Linked DNA regions of Yarrowia lipolytica. Each later gene encodes a partner of the first gene's protein in a complex. Links are inferred from orthologs where the notes say so. Each region holds a gene or a part of one and is shown in the gene's direction. Other genes may lie near its edges.

Evidence for each region.
Region 2: YALI1_E28130g (region 1) and YALI1_F39183g share a complex: the UniProt entries of both Saccharomyces cerevisiae proteins name them as parts of the mitochondrial large ribosomal subunit. The link is inferred for Yarrowia lipolytica from reciprocal best matches to the Saccharomyces cerevisiae genes MRPL22 and MRP35.
Region 3: YALI1_E28130g (region 1) and YALI1_F13602g share a complex: the UniProt entries of both Saccharomyces cerevisiae proteins name them as parts of the mitochondrial large ribosomal subunit. The link is inferred for Yarrowia lipolytica from reciprocal best matches to the Saccharomyces cerevisiae genes MRPL22 and MRPL9.

What each region holds. Positions count from the first base shown.
Region 1 is NC_090774.1:2,810,165-2,815,931, reverse strand, and holds YALI1_E28130g (mitochondrial 54S ribosomal protein uL22m), read left to right. Parts: upstream 1-2,865; coding exon 2,866-3,744; downstream 3,745-5,767. Other genes in the region: YALI1_E28156g (uncharacterized protein), read right to left, coding at 1-174, 229-293; YALI1_E28150g (uncharacterized protein), read left to right, coding at 950-1,855; YALI1_E28107g (uncharacterized protein), read right to left, coding at 4,349-4,395, 4,780-4,927, 5,195-5,236. UniProt on the Saccharomyces cerevisiae protein: Component of the mitochondrial ribosome (mitoribosome), a dedicated translation machinery responsible for the synthesis of mitochondrial genome-encoded proteins, including at least some of the essential transmembrane subunits of the mitochondrial respiratory chain.
Region 2 is NC_090775.1:3,914,694-3,920,553, forward strand, and holds YALI1_F39183g (uncharacterized protein), read left to right. Parts: upstream 1-3,657; coding exon 3,658-3,810; intron 3,811-4,163; coding exon 4,164-4,298; downstream 4,299-5,860. Other genes in the region: YALI1_F39159g (uncharacterized protein), read right to left, coding at 94-1,218; YALI1_F39164g (uncharacterized protein), read left to right, coding at 1,756-2,589; YALI1_F39176g (uncharacterized protein), read left to right, coding at 2,941-3,087, 3,184-3,291; YALI1_F39199g (uncharacterized protein), read right to left, coding at 4,606-5,289; YALI1_F39236g (uncharacterized protein), read right to left, coding at 5,802-5,860. UniProt on the Saccharomyces cerevisiae protein: Component of the mitochondrial ribosome (mitoribosome), a dedicated translation machinery responsible for the synthesis of mitochondrial genome-encoded proteins, including at least some of the essential transmembrane subunits of the mitochondrial respiratory chain.
Region 3 is NC_090775.1:1,356,584-1,362,688, forward strand, and holds YALI1_F13602g (mitochondrial 54S ribosomal protein uL3m), read left to right. Parts: upstream 1-3,688; coding exon 3,689-4,543; downstream 4,544-6,105. Other genes in the region: YALI1_F13550g (uncharacterized protein), read left to right, coding at 1-887; YALI1_F13579g (mitochondrial 54S ribosomal protein uL6m), read left to right, coding at 1,392-2,003; YALI1_F13597g (uncharacterized protein), read right to left, coding at 2,455-3,126; YALI1_F13644g (uncharacterized protein), read right to left, coding at 4,836-6,105. UniProt on the Saccharomyces cerevisiae protein: Component of the mitochondrial ribosome (mitoribosome), a dedicated translation machinery responsible for the synthesis of mitochondrial genome-encoded proteins, including at least some of the essential transmembrane subunits of the mitochondrial respiratory chain.

The sequences.
Region 1 (5,767 bases):
TAGTTTCTCCAGAAAGGTCGCAGAGTCTTTTGGCCGCCAATGTCCCAGATGTTGAGCTTGTACTGGCCCCTTGTCACCGTGCGGATGTTGAAGCCCAGCGTCGGAGACACCTCGTTCACGTCCTCGTTGAGAATCTTCTTGACTATCGTCGTCTTGCCCGAGTTGTCCAGACCACTGTGTTAGTACTGTTCCCTCTCACACCCAGACACGTCGCTTCCTCTCACTCACAGCATGAGCACACGGATCTCCTTATCCTTGAGCTTTTGTTTCTTGATGATCGTGAGTAGCCCCATTTGTCATGTCGCCAGGAAGAGGAGTTGTGGTGGAGCACATGACAACTGCACAGGAGAGGTTGGTGACAAGTGAAGAGATCAAATTGGGCGATTGAGTCGAAGGACTATGGTTGGAGTGTTAGATGCGCCAAAGGAGGGTGGTAAAGCGATGAGTAGAAAGAAGAAGAAAAAAGAGGGGGAAAAAAAAAACAGGGGAAACACACCCCTTGCCGCGACGCACTTGCCGCACTCCCACTCTCTCTAAGTAGAACATCAACATAACAAGTCAAAGTAACACATAACAGCACATGAACGCCATCTAAACCACCCGTTCCTGGTACCAAAATGATCCTCTGTATCTGAGGAATCCATTTCTTTTATTCTTTAGTCGCCTGTGAGAATAATGGGCAAGTTACAGTCGAATCTATATTACGCTTACAAAGTACTGGATGAACCGCAGAGTGTGTGAACATGTATCACAATATCTCTTCTGTCTACCAAATTCGCCAATCTCCTTTCCCCAATCGACAAAACCTCAATATCAGCCAACCTCAATATCCAACTCACCCCGCTATATAATGTATCATATTAAGGTTTATGCATACTGCACCAAGCATGCATACGCGGTCTCAATATATACCTCATCTCATATATAATTACGGCATATCGACCCAGCTATGACGGGATGGATATATTTGCACCAGGCGTTGCGGCTGCTTACGCCGTATCCGCAGGCCGTTCTCAACAACAAACGGTCGTCGGTGGCTGGCTTTTCGCTCGACTACGGACTCTGGGCGTTCGTGGGGGCGGTGTGTCATTTCGTCTTCACCCTCACATACATCAACAGCGATCTGGTCCATCGGCAGTTTGTGCAGAGATACCCGTTAGCGTTTGATATGCCCAGCGCGTCCGGGGTGATTGCCCTAATTGACTTGAACGAGTCATTGGTGTGGGGCGTGTGTGCTGTGCAGGCGTGGTATTCATACAGACACACCCAGACCAATGCGCAGTCGTGGTCTCTGGAATGCAAGGTGATTATGGGTCTTTTTTTCGGCGTGCTTGTGTTCCTGCTGATGGCGGTCAAGTCCCATCCCTTTGCAAAGGTGCCCTCGCCTCCTGGAGTCGGCTATCTGGGTATCAAGTTCATTGACGTGGTGGACTGGCTTGGAATCATCGGAGACTTCAGCGTCTACGCCCGTTACGTGCCGCAGGTGTCGTGCAACTGGACGGTGCAGAGCTGTGTGGGCTCGTCGTTTTTGCTCATTGTGCTGGATCTGGCGGGCGCGTTTTTCGGGATTCTCGACGTTCTGGGCGCCAAAAAGGCCAAGCCCACCAAGGAGAGAAACCGAAACAAAGTCGTGCGGGCCGTGCGTCCCTCGGGTCTCTTTTGGGCATGCTGGTTCCGCTTTTTCTGGGATCTCGTTCTGCTCTACCAGCAGGTGAAATACAAGGGATGTCGTCCTCTGGTCAAGAGGAAGTACGTGAAGCCCGTGGACGTGGAAGTGATGGGAGAAGAAGACGACAGCGATGAGGGCCATCGACTGTTGCGTTCGGGCGAGGTGGAACTGAGAGACATGGCGTGACCGTGAGGATAGAAAATCGTGATACACTGCATTTACATATTTAATGATTATGACATGAGAGGGTAGAGAGAGTGGACACTGCAAATCTCAAAGAGCACTGTAGTCGTTGTATTCGGACCCACGCCAGACACACTTGTCAACTAAACATTCAAGTAAAGTATCAGCTTGAAATCACATAACTGTGTCGAATGGGCGAGTTTGTAACAGAAATATCATGTCAATAGTATATATCGGAGACTGTGTGACACTGCTCTACAGTTTTATACGCTTTTTTCTCTACGAAAGCAACTGGAGCACCAGACAGAAACCCATCACAACTTCTTCTTTCAACTAAAAGTCAACTAAAAAAGACCATGCTATATGTCTCGGTTGCGGGCTTCCAGACACCATGAGAGAGATACAAGTGTCAAGAGCGAAGAATCTGAGACAGCTGTTTCGGTTGTGTCTTCTCACGTGATCTTACATTGCTTACTAATCCAGTACCAATAATAACCACTCTGTTGGCTGTGTATACTAAATCATGTCAATATATCCGAGTATATATAGAGAGGAGGTGTCTACTGAAACAAGTAATGATAGTAGAGATATTCAAAAGACAGAATTAATACATACGTAGACCCCAGGATAACCAAAAACCGTGCTCTTCATCAACATATTAACAATTCTAAAAGTGCATACAAGAATGAACACAACCTGGAATCGAACCCACGGGACCCGACACCACTCTCCAGACTACTGCATGGGTTGAAGAAAGGATGGGGATTGAAGAATGAGGTGATTATTGGTGTTGTTCGACCGACTTATGTGTAAACGAGGACAAGATTCCTTCCTACAACCACTTATATCGCTCCTAACTCCGATTCGGCTCCGACAGTATACTCTTGTCTCACGGTTGTTGCAGTTTCTCCCGTTTAGGTTGACTCTCTGTTAACCCGTACCCTGAAAAATCTATCTCCAGTTGACGCATCACCATACGAGCCCTCACTGACCGTATAACAGCACACACAACCATGCTGTGGAAGAAGATGTTTGGCAAAAGCGTGGCGCCGGCCTCCCGGCTGGTTGCCCTGCGGCCGTTCCACTCTACCGCCGCGCGATCCAACGACTGGTTCGGCAGCATGACAGAAAACAAGGAGTCCATCAAGCAGGATCTGGACAAGGCGACGGCAAACAAGAGATCCAAGGAGGTCGAGCAGAACGCCGACGAGACCAAGGGCAAGCTGCCATCGTTCAAAAACGACACCAAGCTGCAGGAGTACATTGCCGAGCAAAAGGGCGAGGCGGAGGTGGGTATTGCAAAGTACGGCACCGCCCTCAAGCAGCGGCTGTGGGACGCCTACCAGAGCCAGCACAAGGGCTACGACAAGACCAAAAAGGTGTCTGTCGACGGCCGGGAGTACCAGATGGTGCTGTCGCCCAACGAGATCAAGGCGTTCGAGCCCTCTGTCTACTGCAAGTCGTACCGAATCGACGGCACCTGGAAGAAGGCCCAGCTGCTGCTGCGAATGCTGCGTAAGATGAACGTGCGTGAGGCCATCACTCAGTGCCAGTTTTCTGCCAAGCGAATGGGCCGACCCGTTGCTGAGCTGCTCCAGCGAGGAGTCAGCGCCGCCAAGGACATGAACATTGACCCCGAGACTCTGTACATTGACGAGATCTGGGTCGGCTCGGACCCCCGAAAGTTCCGGTTCGTGGACCCGAAGGGCCGAGGACGAGCCGGCATGAAACACGCCGAGTACATCCACATCCGGGCTATTCTGCGAACCCCCGTGACCCAGCAGCGAGAGGCCCGTGACAAGGAGTACAAGCGCCTGGCCAAGAAGCCCGTGTTCCAGCACGAGACCCGAAAGGTGGGAGATGGGTACCTCAAGTCTGACTACCGATGGTAATGTATATAGCTAGGGCGAGTGACGAGCATAGCGCGTTGCTCGAACGAAATGAACAAAATGAGTAACCGATGAGCGAATAGCGTGCGAAACGAGTTGTTAGTTCTTAACGAGTAAGCCACCGAAGAATGAGTAACAGAAGTAGCAGCAACGGGGTAGCAGCTGGAACATATCAGGTGACGAGATCGCTTCCATGAAACAGGTGAAGATGATCTAAGAGCTCAGAGGAACGAGTACTGTATGTACCAGTTGATATGTAAATGACGAAGGGCTGTGCTTAGACAGTAGAATACACTAATCATCTGTCGAACATAATCTCGGAGAAGAGGTGTTGGTCATACGTCTGCACTTGCACCTACTTGTCAGGACATTTATATGAATGGAACAGTGTGATCTGGAGTTCTGACTATTAACATCTAGAAGTACGAGTATATATGTACTGTTCCAAGATACACCTTCCGAACGACTCCAACTTGTCGGGTGGTCGTTGGTACTCCATCATGAAGTGTTGCGGCAGGTTGGGCTACAGTCCAATTGTACCGACCATCTTCCTCCAAGTGCCGTCCCTCGGTCTGTGCAACTTATAAGTCTAATGAATTCATGCTATTTACTCGTCATCGAAGCCAGTGAGCTGCTCTCGAGCACGCTGGGGGACTCGGTTAGTATAGTAAAAATGGGGTGCAGTGGAGGCTGACGGTATGAGCCGATGACCGCAGGGCCTGCGACTCAGACCGTAGAAGCTCAGTAGTCTGGTCAGTTGATCTAGTCGACTGCAGTCTGATTCGGTTGATTGAGGTAGTCATGGTGGCTTGGGATCAGCTCGTCCAGTTACCAGACAGACCAATCACAGAACAATCACAGAAAATCACAGACAATCACAGACAATCCACAGACAATCCACAGACAATCACAAGACAAATCACAGACAATCACAAACATCACAGACCAATCACAGACTATCACAGACCATCAGACAGACTGGCAGTTTTGTCAACCACCGACGTCCATTGCAACGCAACAACTCTTAATAATACTCACGAGGATATGATTGGGGAAGGGGGCTGTGATCGGGGTAAAGGTACTTTCTTCGTAGAGGAGTCAGTGTGAGCGCGGCGACAGGGCCGGCGATTCCAATGGCGAAGGCGAAGAAGAGATGGGGTCGGTTATGAGCAGACCATCGAAGGTACTGGGTTGTGTTAGTGGGGCTCAGACGGAGTCAGTCTCTACATAGTCTGCAGACATCTCGGTGACGTGGCACAAACGAAAGACCCGAGAGTGAATCAGCTGTTCATTCCATTCATATGGTCGTTCCATTCATACGGTCATTCGTTCCACCCACCACGTCTCTTTGGTGTTGGGGTCACCTTGTGTCGATTGACATAGCCATTTCTGGGTGTGTTTACGGCCAGGCCGCGGCGTTTTGTGCTCTCGAAACCCGCTGCGCGATACTCACTCGAAAGGGGCCGTTCCAGAAGCCGGGGTTAGCGTTGATCATTGTCGAGTGTCCGTTTGTGTCTCGTTTCCCTGATATTGGATTTTGGGCGACAAATGCACAGTGGTGGTTTTGGCTTTTAGTTACCCTCGTCGTGATTGGCCCGTGGGCTGGATCTGCTTAGTAAGCTGGGAGGAAAAATTCAGGTGAATTTACGGGAATTGAATGGTTAAATAGGAGGAATAAATGGGGAAATACGAAGCGAATTAATGAGCAGGGAGACAGAGAAAAGTCCTCAATAAAAATAAAAAACAAGAAAAATAGTAAAATAAGATAAAACAAATAAAAATATAAATATAAACAAATAAATAAAATAAACACCTACCAAACTCCCTACCGCCTCAACATCACATGACGTCCAAGTCACATGTCCACATGTGGGGTAAGTTTCAAGATGAGCACAACTTGTAGCCCGAAAAGTAGACGATTTGTACAAGTAGATATATCCCGAAAACATCTAATCATTCTCTAACTGATTAGTAAACATAGACACCAACAACTACCCTACAGGCACCCACCGTACACAACGAGTTC
Region 2 (5,860 bases), on another chromosome or scaffold:
TTGTATTGGTACGCTACTGTACATGGGTAGGTCCGGTCCAATTCTTCGTATCCTCAATTAATATCCGTTATTAAATTATGTTGTGCTTTATTCCTACTTGGAAACACTTCTAACCCAGTATTCACTGGCACCCTCCTCTCTCATCTTAATATACTGACGAGACAACAGCAGGCCGACTTGGTACAGTTCTCGTTCCACGGCCTGCTTCTTGGTTTCCAGGTCAGCCAGATTCTGGGTCAGATTCGTCGACCTGCCTCCAGTGTTGGCAGAGAAGTTTTTGTATGTCGTGGTCGGCCCCATCTTCTTGATGAGATCAATCTCCACTGTGATTGCACGTGACAACTCAAACAGCTTGTCCGACTGCTGTTGCAGCTGGGCCACTCGGTCTGCCCGTGATGCGTGCGACTCCCTTGAGCTAATCGATGCACTGTCCGAGGCGGCTCGTGGCTTCTCAGCTGCAATGCCTCCATGTCCTTCCTTCTTGCTCTTGACCGTCTGTCTTACCAAAGCGTCAAACTGTCGCTCGATCTCCACCTCCTTCATCTTGATACGAGCATATACTCCGGAGGGCCCCGAGTTGTTGTTGGGTTTCACCTTTGCCCGTGGGTCGTGCGTCTGTGGTCGAGGAGCCACCGTGGGCTGTTGTGGCCGGTGACCGAGACCATGTCCTATGCCTGCATTCTTGTGGAAAATGCCCCGGGTGCCTGTACTAGGTGGAGCCAGTCTAGCTACTGTGGCAACGCACACCTCGGCTGAGGTGTCTGGCGAGTCTAGAGACACATCTCCGTCTTCCTCGGCGTCCTCGAAGCGGTCCAGGTCTGAGTCTCGAAGTGTAGATGTGGAGGAGGAGTTCTGTAAACTCTTGTTATGCTGTGTAGTTGGTGCAGCCCGTTGTTGGGCATGTGTTGTTGTCGTGGTCTGATGATGTGTGTTGAAAGGGACAGGGCTTCCAGAAGGCTGTCTGGGCTGGTTCAGCTTCTTCTCTGGAGTCGACGTGCCCCCGGCGGCATGCAAAACGTCTTCGGGGATGCAATAGCTCTCGCTGGCGACGGTGTTGAGCGTGGAGGACGAGTAGTTTGGCACCGCTCTCATGAAAGCTCTTCGGCGCTGTTCCGACATGACAAAGGACTCATCACGGGTCATTTCGTAGTGCGACGTGTCGTCGGCGCCAATAACGAGGGCGGCTCCCACGGTTTGGGCCATTGGTCGTGATGGCATCTTGGTTGGGGTTTACGTCTCGTCTCTTCAATCTGCTTGTGATGATTGACACTCTCACTGTTTTGGATTCAGAGCGCGAAACGCGCCTTTAGGTTTCAAATGCGATGAACAGAGTTGGTTCCCCTACCTTGAATCGCTGGGTGTTAAAACCAAGTCGTATAAACCACCCTGGCAGGTGTTGAGAGAAGAATAGGTGAGACTCGTATGTAGTATGGGAGAGAGAGCTCAAGAGGCATTATATCATATAGCAGGTCTGGCACTTGACCTGCAGCATCGCATCCTGCAGGAATCCATCACCTGGGTCTTAGATTATTATTCTCCTTCCCATGCAATGTTGTGGTTGTATTTTGAAATGTTATTCTGAGACTTCTGTCATACCCTTTTGAGAAGTCGGGGTTGGGGTAGCCCAGAACTTGCCCAGAACCTGAATAGCCATTTGGGTCACGCGCCAAGTGCAGCAGTCATGCACTAACGTTTAGTTCCTAAAATTTCAAGTGCGTTTTTCAGGCGCAAAAAATAAACTGACCAAGCTCTATAATGCAGCGACTATTGAAAAAGGCACTGAAAAACAGCGCAGCGGGCGAGGCTGGAGCACCACTGGAGCGCACCGACACCCGCTCCTCGCACGAAACGCTCTTTGACGACAACAAGTCCGCGGTCTCCACGCTGTTTGAAACCCCTGAAGGCGACCCGCGAGAACGGGATGTCTACAGCATATACTCGGCCATGTTTCGACATGGAGTGACCGTTTTTGACGATGGCCTCAAAAAACCCATTCTGTCTGTGTCCACGCATTTCTTCGGCAAGACCTACATGGAGATTTACCGGCTGGACGATAAGCAGAGCCCAGGTAGCGAGGCTGTGTCAATGTCTGGAACCGAGTGCTACAAGTCGCTTCTGTGCAGTGTGACACAAAAGGTACTTGACAACGACCGTATCGAGTACATTCTCACCTTTGTGGACAGCGAGCGGGACAACATCACCATGGTTACCCATGGAACCAGGCGGGTGACTACAGCTTCTTACGAAGGCGTGCAGTTGCAATGGTACGGAACGACGGGCATTGCCAACACTTATGGCTCTGGATTCTTTCATCTGCGGCTTGTTGACACCGAACATACTGAGAGACAGGGTAATGTGCTGCCAGACTCAGACACCCTCTGTGGTCCTTGCATAGGAGCCTACAGTTATCTGACTGAGGGCAGACTGAAGAAGCAGCGCCGGGTTGGCGAGTTTAGCATTTTCAATGGTGGCACTCATCTTTCCGAGGTCATCCTACTCATGGGACTGGTTCTGCGAGAGGGAGAGATGCGAAAGATAACGGAAAGTACACGAGCTGCCAATGCTGTCACCAGCAAGGTGTTTTTGTAAACTGAGTGATGAAAACGGCATGGTTGAAACAATAGTTTGGTAGCTACCGTGATGAGCTCCGTCTCTTGCGACAACCAGGATAGCAGCTTGGGCGGGAAAAAGAAGAAGAATGTGGATTGTGGTGGCTTTGAGTGCCTTCCGCCGATAATGTGAAACGAATTTTTATTATTAATGAGTAAGACAGACAGACTAATATATCTGAATACTATGGTTGGTTGCCTAGGGTTGTGTGGATGGTCGTTCCCGTTCAGCTCATGGCCGAATCAGGTATACTCGCTTACATAATCATTTTGGGTTGCATACAGGCATCTCGGTGAAGCATGATTTTCGACTTTACACTCGACCGTCACAATGAACTCCTTTGCCCCGGAATGCACTAAAGCCAAGAAGGAGTACGACAACTGCTTCAACAACTGGTACTCGGAGAAGTTCCTCAAGGGAGAGTCCATGGAGAACGAGTGTGCCGATCTGTGGCACGAGTACGAGGATTGCGTCAAGGTGAGTAGGGAGAGGGAGAGGGCAGCCTGGAGATGAATTAGGATCGATTCAGGAGATCGGTACCCGGCGTACCACTCACAGTATTTACTAACCCAGGCCGCTCTTGCCAAGAAGGGTGTTGGAAAGATGATTGACGAGGCTCGAAAGCAGGCTCCGTTTGAGAACGGCGGCAAGCTCGTGGAGGAGGATGAAAAGAAGAAGTAAATGTATATATTAATTGAACGATTCTGCTGGCCAAGATGTGAAAAAACGAGTTTCTCACTTGTATCAAGTCTGTGTTAGTCAGGCTTTTCTCTGTAAGTGTGCAAGGGTGTCTGTGAGTTACGGGTGAATTTTTTTAAAATCTAGTAAAAGGATGAAGTTCGACAGATTTTATAGGGAAATCTAAACACTTTCTAACGATTTATAAAAAGTCCTCTCGCCGCAAGAAGTCATCGGCCACCTTCCAGTACCCCAAACACACCTGTGTAAGTCACTGCAAGAAAACCTCGCCACGTGACAAACAAGGTTTTGCAAAATCGTCGGTTGGAATATCAGACTCTATCACCACACATACACGACCATACAAAAATGCTGTCTCTGATTCAGTCGCTACGGCCGACTGTGGCCATGAACAACGTGGCGCAGATGTTTGTGCGAAACACTTGCAAGTCCGCCCATGTCAAGACCAAAAAGGCCGTTGCCAACCGAATCAAGATCTGTGGTAGTGGAAAGATCACCAGAGTGAGTGCCACAAGGATGGAGAGGAGGGGAAATAAGGAAAAAGGAATGCTGGGAGCGACTCCGATCAAGCCATGATAGAGTGGATAGCTGATATTTCAGTGCCGGAAAAGTTTTGCCTCTGATCTGATCATGGCCTTATGTTACACAGCTTTCAAGCTGAGATGATTAACTGTTTCAGCAGCTAGAAGAGATACCAGACACGGAACTACCTGTCACAACCAGGCTGATTACGCACACTGCGTTTTTTTTGTTTTTTTTGTTGCTTACCAGGCACTCAGATCAAGCAAGACACTCATAACCTCTTGTAGCTGAACACATCAACAATGACAACTTCCAGATCGCCACTAACTCAGGGAAAAACCGGACGAAAGCACGGAAACACTGGATGGTCCGCTGCTCTGCTGCGAAAGAAGACCGGTATGACCGAGCTCACCGGTTTCCAGAAGAAGCATGTCAAGAAGTACGTGCCTTTCAAACAATCCCCTTAATGTATATAGCAATTAGAACCCTCTTGGATGCACGAGAAGTCTGTACAGTACAGACGGATACAAGTTCGTAGTGCACGTACCGAGCTGTTTAAATTAATTGATGTATTTTTCTGTATAAGATGTAATCATTGCATACTCTGCAAATAATAAATAGGGCGCGCGGGGTTTAGATCACGGTTTTGATGGGACAGCTAGGCCGTGGGTAGGTACAGCACTTGTACTCAGGCCGTGGTGGAGACGCGGTACTGCGAAAGTACCAGCGATATGAATGTCGTAAGTATCATACTACAATTGTAGCAGAGGGGGGTTACTGGCCAAGCAACAACCAACCAATAAAATAGACACCATAACCCATCATTTCAACAGCATCCACAGGGTTAAGGCTGGACAGACCAGAGTCCCACTCAATGGCAGACTCACGAGGAGCATACTCTTGTCGATCTGAAGAGGGCTCGTTGGCCAAAAGACCGACATTTTTTTCAGGCACAAAAGGCTTGAGCTCCTCGCCAGTCAACCAATAATGGAGTCGATCTCCAAATGCTGAGGCGTTGGACTCGCGGTTGCACTGTTCAATCACGCTTGTCACTAATTGTTGTTTGTCGGCGTCACAGATATCGAGCATTTGTGTTTCTTGAGAGTGTTTTCTGATTACAGCGGACCCAGGGGCGCTTTTTTGATTATATATAGCCTTACAGCCTTTCAGAGACTTTCGTCGCCATGCAACAAAGACAGGACCAGTAAGGTTGTTGAGTGCACGTGACCTCGGGTCCACGAACGTCATGGGGCAAAACAAGACTATTGCAACATAATTATAAGGGGTAGATGCAGCTTGCGAGTTCCCCTCCTGCTTGCTACGTGCCAGTGCAACCTCTGGCGTGTTATTCTTCCACATTTGCTCTTTGTGGCGACCAGTAGCGTGTAATAAACATTCTGGGGTAACTGTAAGCGCTGATATGGAAATGTACGATACGATAGGGTATGTAGGGTCCATGTAGGGTCTTACAGATAGCTTCAACAAGTACTCGTACCAGGCGCGATACTGCAATAACAGTGGATATTTCTCAACAAATCTACTGTAGGTGACACACACACTCACGTCTGCGTCTCCACATGACAAGCATCACTGTTAATCTATGTTCCACTTGATTATGGCTTTTGCCACCAGGTCTTGTTGGGTCATGTCTTGTGTACTTTTAGCTCTCCATATAATAAATATATTGGGGTAATCCTCAAGGTGGAGAATGTGGGGTGCCTGAATACATGGAGTGAAAAGTCGTGTGACCAGTTGTCGTTGGCAAGATGATAAGATCGGTGATGAGTCCGAGCACTTAATTGCGCGGTAGTGTATTGTTCTACAAGTAGCACAACATGTCATACTACGATTACTACAGCCTCACTCCACACTACATAACGTACAGTACTGTACTTGTACCCGTGCCATAGACTACAAACAATAACACCTCTGTAACTAAACATGCAATCTATACATTTTTGGGTCTCTATTTACTCTTGCTTTTCAGCCTCGTTCACCTGCTCCTCGACATTTTCATCGCTCTCCTTGA
Region 3 (6,105 bases), on another chromosome or scaffold:
GAATTCTTACTAACCCCACTGCCGCATACATGAAGGACACCAACCGACGAGGTGCCCAGGCCACTTATCGAAAGATCTCGCTCATTCGAAACCACTGTGCCATTGAGTTGGCGCTGGATCGAGCTATCCACGAACTCAAGGCCCGTATGCTCCCCTCCAAGCTTGGATCAGGACGTACATCCCCGCAAGGTACTTTTAAGCATTCGCAGTCGTCCAACCAGATTTCTGCGCTCAAACCTCCTTCTCGTCACATGTCTGCTTCATCGGCAACCACAGCACATACGCGTCTTCGGAACCGAAAGTCGTTTTCTCATGCACGTATCAAGAGTGATGCGGCCGCTGTGTTCGACAAGGAGCCTATTCACGAGACGCCCAAGTCGTCGCCTCAGAGCTCGTATGTCAACTTGCACCGATCTGCAAGTGAGCGGTCGAGACGACCCAAGTCTGCATTCAATCTGGGCTCTCTGCCGACCTCTCCTCTTTATCATCCGCATCTGACCCACTCCATGTCTATGGGGGGAGCCAATCAGGCGCCTCTGTACAATCCTGGGCGCGGTTCTGTGTCTCAGAACACCTCCCCTGGGACCAAAATCCCCGGAAACGCTGATCCGTCGTACTTTGATGGACCCAACAATGTGCGTTTCCACTGGGACAGCGACGACGACGATGTGCGAGAGACGGAGTTCCTCAACAACATGTCTTCGTCGTCTTCACGAAGAGTTTCTCCTGTCCAGAGTCGTCGAGCCAGTGTTGATGGACTGCGAAACTCTGTCGTATCCACCGCCACCAGTGTCACCGACGGTTCCGTGTCCAGCAGACCGTCCCGAGCGTGGGAGAGCATTTCCCAGCTGTTTGAAGGGGACGAGAACTGTTCTGACTCGTGCTAACCTGTGGCATGGCTAACGTTGATATACAATAGACAGTATCGGTATCGATATGACAATACATTTTGGGTAGATGAGCGATCGAAGATAGAACCAGCAACTACTAATACGCCTACGGTTAAGGCTTTCATGAGCATTTGCAGCTTATGATTGTTGTTACAGTATTTTTTCTTTCTTTCTTCTGTTTCTTGTTTCTTCTCAACTAGAGTTCACTAAAGTTGCTTTTGTTAGTTGGAATTAGTTGGGGATAATATACAGTCTTATTTGATCGACTTTACCTGAGATTTGGGCGGCAAATAACTTGATGAACCCTTCCAAATGGTCTATTGAGGGATTCTATTTTCCTAATATTCTCTTATTGCATCATTACTTATTGGTAGGCTGTTTCTGGTCAATTACATAGTGCATATAAAGTTCAAGTTAGCACCTGCGGGAATCGAACCGCAGCGTGAAAAAACTACACCTCTTGATCCATCGCCAATCATCCAGATCATCTCACACACAAAAATGCTGCGAACCCGTGCCTTTTCCACGTCGGCGCGAGTGCTGAGCTACATTGGAAAGCAGCCCATTCTCGTTCCCGAGTCGGTGACGCTGCAGATCTCGCCCACTGAGGTGGTGGTTGAGGGTCCTCTGGGACGAGTCCAGATGTCCAAGCCGACTTTTGTCAACATTGCATCGTCCCAGGACACCATGAGCTCCGGCTCTGTGCTGTCTGTGTCGGTTAACGACGCCACCAACAAGACGCAGCGAGCCATGTGGGGCACCATGCGAGGCCTCATCAACAACCATGTGACTGGTGTGACTGATGGCCATGTCGCTCTTCTGACCTTGGTGGGAACTGGATACCGAGCTGGAGTCGAGAAGGACGCCCACACCGGCGCTCCCATTGTCTCCGTTCGATGCGGTTTCTCCCACCCCATCAACTTTGTCATTCCTGCTGGCATCGAGGTGACTACACCCATCCCCACTCGAATTCTCATCAAGGGCGCTGACAAACAGCAGGTCAAGCTGTTTGGAGCTTCCATTCGACTCAAGCGACCCCCGGAGCCTTACAAGGGCAAGGGAATCTACCTCGACGACGAGACCATCACCCGAAAGGCCACCAAGGTGAAATAAATGTAAATAGATTGGTTATGAAAAGATTTGACACGACACCAGTAGCATGTGGCTTCTGTTGAGGTTAGCATGAATCGCGCAACCAACAAACCTGTAGAAACAGAACCTGTACTTGTACAGTAGCGCACGCCGCTTTGGCTATACCCTCGCATGACATATCTCGAACGATACCCCGACAAGAGGCGATGACAAGGATACCAACTCGTCTGAATGAGTATCTGAGTCTGACAGTCCGATAAGATACCGAAGCAGTTCTCGTACTACAGGCTAATGTATATATCATATCCAACAAACGGCTCGCTCTAGAGACTCTCATTATTGATATTATCCCAAAATGGATCCATAGGCCGCTACATTCACGTCTACAACTCAAGCAGGCTAGTCATTCTATGTACATAAGCTGAATGTCGACAGTAGCGTCGCATTCTAGGATTCGTCAACATGACAAGGTCTAGTTAACAAGATGTTCCTCCTCATCAATGATGAGGGGATCAATGAGTGAGTCGGCCAGGTTGACGACTCGTCCGTCTGGGAAGGTCAGAGACCACTCGAGCACTCGGAACTTTTCTCGGCCGGAGGCTCGTCGCGAGTTGAAATGCATGATGGCCTCGGCCTTGTTTCCCTTGACGGGGAAGGAGAAGTCCACCTTTCCAACAAGAGGACGAATGGTTCCCGACACCCAGGTGTAGGCACTGGCGAATCGGATACCCGAGCCCAGCTCCTCGTTGGCCAGGGGCGACTTTCGGAGCGTGTACATGCAAGATGAGACCTGCGAAGACGACATCTTCTCGTAGTTGAAGGAGAAGGCCAGAGACACGGTCATGATGACCACAAACAGACCAAATCCGGCCCATCGGCGCATCTTGTGGCTGGTAATGTTAGGCAGCTCCGTGTCCACGGTGACAGGTGCATTGGGCACCTTTTCGGGCGTGAACGGCTCAAAGGTGTGGCCCTCGTAACGTCGCAGGTTTCGGTCTTCGGGCAGCAGCTTTTCGTCGTCCTTCTTGGCGTCGGTCGACTGCTGGTGGAGCCACAGACGGCTGGTTGTGGACAGGGGTCGGGCGACCGAGAGAGGTCGCAGCAACGAAGGCAGAGCTCGTTGGGGACGCAGTAGTCGAAGCATTGTGTGAGTGTGTGCGAGGTGTGTGGTGGACTGCTCTGATATTGTAAGACGTACGGTATATTTGCTTTTATAGTTTGTATGGGTGTGGGTAGAAGGAGCTCTCCAAAGACCACCAGTAGCAGGTGTTTGGGAGCAAGTTGCACCGGAAAGAACTAACAGAGAGATTTGCACTGTAGATGTGGGTTGGTTTATGGGCAATTGGGGGGAAAAAGACCCCTATCGATGGTCATACTGTCCGCTTAAGATTACTTTCACCTCAGATTAACTTACTTAACAAACAGACTCAGCGTTACTTGAGAAATAGCTACAATTGTATCGAGGAAACAGATGACTTCAAACCAGCACCAAAAAGTGTGGGATTGAAAAAAATGACACCGGCAATCAACTTGCAGAGTCCACCATGGTATTTCAGCTCTTTCTCAGCCGTTGTCATTACCCCCCCTCGGTTCCTAAGTAAACGCAGGTTGGTCCTCCCACCTAGCTTCAAAGTTACCCTACCGTGAAATTTCCCAAGATTTTGACATTGCAGAACCACCACCCAGATCTGATCACACACACAAAAATGTTGCCTCGACTCCGTCTCATGGCAGAGGCCACTCCCGTGCGCGTGTTCAGCCGCGGCGTGGCCCAGCTCATCTCGCCCAACGCCAACGTCCCCGCCGCCGAGGCTCCCGCTCGAAACAACTCGCCTGCGGCCGCCTACGCCCGAAAGCAGCTGGTGTCTCGAACCGGAGCTCTGGCGTTCAAGCGAGGCATGATCTCGTGGTACGACGAGAACGGCGTGCACATGCCCGCCACGGTGCTGGAGATTGATCTGTGCCAGGTGGTGGGCCACAAGACCGAGGAGAAGCACGGATACAACGCCGTCCAGGTCGGAATGGGACACAGAAACAAGGCGCTGCAGAAGATGAACAAGAGCAAACTCGGCCAGTTTTCGGCCGCCACCGTCAACCCCAAGCAGGCGGTTGCCGAGTTTCGAATCCGCGGCAAGGACGGCCTTCTTCCCATCACCACCGAGATCACTGCCTCGCACTTCAAGGTCGGCCAGTACGTCGATGTCCAGGCCACCTCCAAGGGTAAGGGATTCTCCGGAGTCATGAAGCGACACGGCTTCTCCGGTCTGCCCGCTTCCCATGGTGTTTCGCTCAAGCATCGATCCGGAGGAACTACCGGTCAAAACACCGATCCTGGACGAGTGTTCCCCGGACGAAAAATGGCCGGAAACATGGGTAACGAGACCGTCACCCTCAAGAACCAAAAGGTGCTATCCGTTGACGAGGACACCGGAATTGTCATTGTCAAGGGCATGGTCCCCGGCTCCAAGGGCAAGATTGTCAAGCTCAGCGACGCCCGAAACATGTACGGCGTGGCCGCCCATGATGTCAAGTCCAGACTCGGTCCTCTGGTCCCTGAATAAATGTATATAGATCGCATAGTGCAATAACCGCGGAAGCGGATAACAGAGAATCGACGGGGTAGATAGATGGCTTGTAGAACCGCATAAGGTCGTGGACAACAGCCCTCTCCAGGCGAATCGTTGCTACAAGTAGTTGTACATACAAGATACTATTACAAGTACAAGTATACGGGCACAAATACTCGTACTAGTATCGTACGATGGTACACAGATATTTTCAACAATATATTTACTGAATGATATGGATGGTCTCACTTACAATTTTGCTCGGATCTTTGGCTCCGCTCATGATCTACAAATCCTCGTCCATATCGGCGGGCTTGACCAAACCGCCAATCTTGAGAGCCTTCTCCTTGTTCTGTCGCTCGGCCTCGACCCGATCCCGCTCCTTGTCCTCGGCGTACAAATGCTCCGTGTTGCCTCCGCCATACTCCTTGATCTGCACCAGGAAGTCTCGCAGATTGAGCTTGAACCGGGGGAAGTCCTTGTGTAATGCAAACAGACCCTCAATGAAGTTGGACACCTGGCCCTCGGTCAGATGAGGGAAGGCCTCCAGCAGCATGTGGCCCATGTACTGCCGCAGATAGACAGAGTTGGACGTGCCATCGGGCACCTGGCCGGGCTGGTACAGAGGCACCGAGATGGCGTTGGACTCGACCAGATCAATCTGCTTGGCCAGCACCTGGCACTGCTGCTTGAAGCCGGCCTTGTGGTCCGTGTCTGTGAGCACATGGAACATACCCTGCAGAATGTTGAAAAAGTAGTTCTGGTAGAACTTTGCGGCAAACTCAGGTGTGGCCTTCTCGGACACGTTTTGCAGCAGCTCGTATGTCAGAGCCAGACCTGCAGACTCCACCTCTCGGTGATCGTGTTTGGAAGCCCACAGACACGCGTCCACCACGAGAGAAAAGCCCTCGTCGGGAAGAGTAACAATGGCAGCAAACGAGTACAGGTTGATGGCTCGCAGCAGCTCAAAAAAGCCAACTCGGTGCTCGGGGTAGTCGGTGAAGTTGGTGTTGATCATGTTGAGAGTGCACTCAAACACATTCTGCAGAATCATGACAACTCCGTCGGGAATCTGGCCGCCCACGCGGGTCACGACCGTGTTCATGCAGTTGAGCACCTCGGCGTCTCGAGCGTCAGGCACGTTGGAGCTGTAGTCCTCCAGGACGGCCTGGAAGAGAGGAGGCGCCAGGTTCTGCGACACATCCTCGAGGTTGTCGGCGGTGGAGACGTAGGTCTGGATCAGCTTCAGCGACTCCTTCTTGATGGTTCGCAGACCTCGAACCTTGGGGGTTCGGGTAGCAATCTGGCCCTGCGAAGCCACTGCCTCGGAAATGGTGCTGGACACGGCCCGGTACAGGTGCAGCATGTCCATGTAGATGAGCTTCAGCTGGGGCTGGAAGCCGGCGCCGAGAGCGGTGCAGGTGGCCACATTGGTTTTCATCACGTTGGAGAAAGTCTTGACGGGCTCAGGGTTGGACAGAATGTCAGGGTCGTTTCGAGCCTGGTTCATGAGCTGCTCCCAGGCCTGATTGGGGAGTCGCATGAGCTCAGAAAGC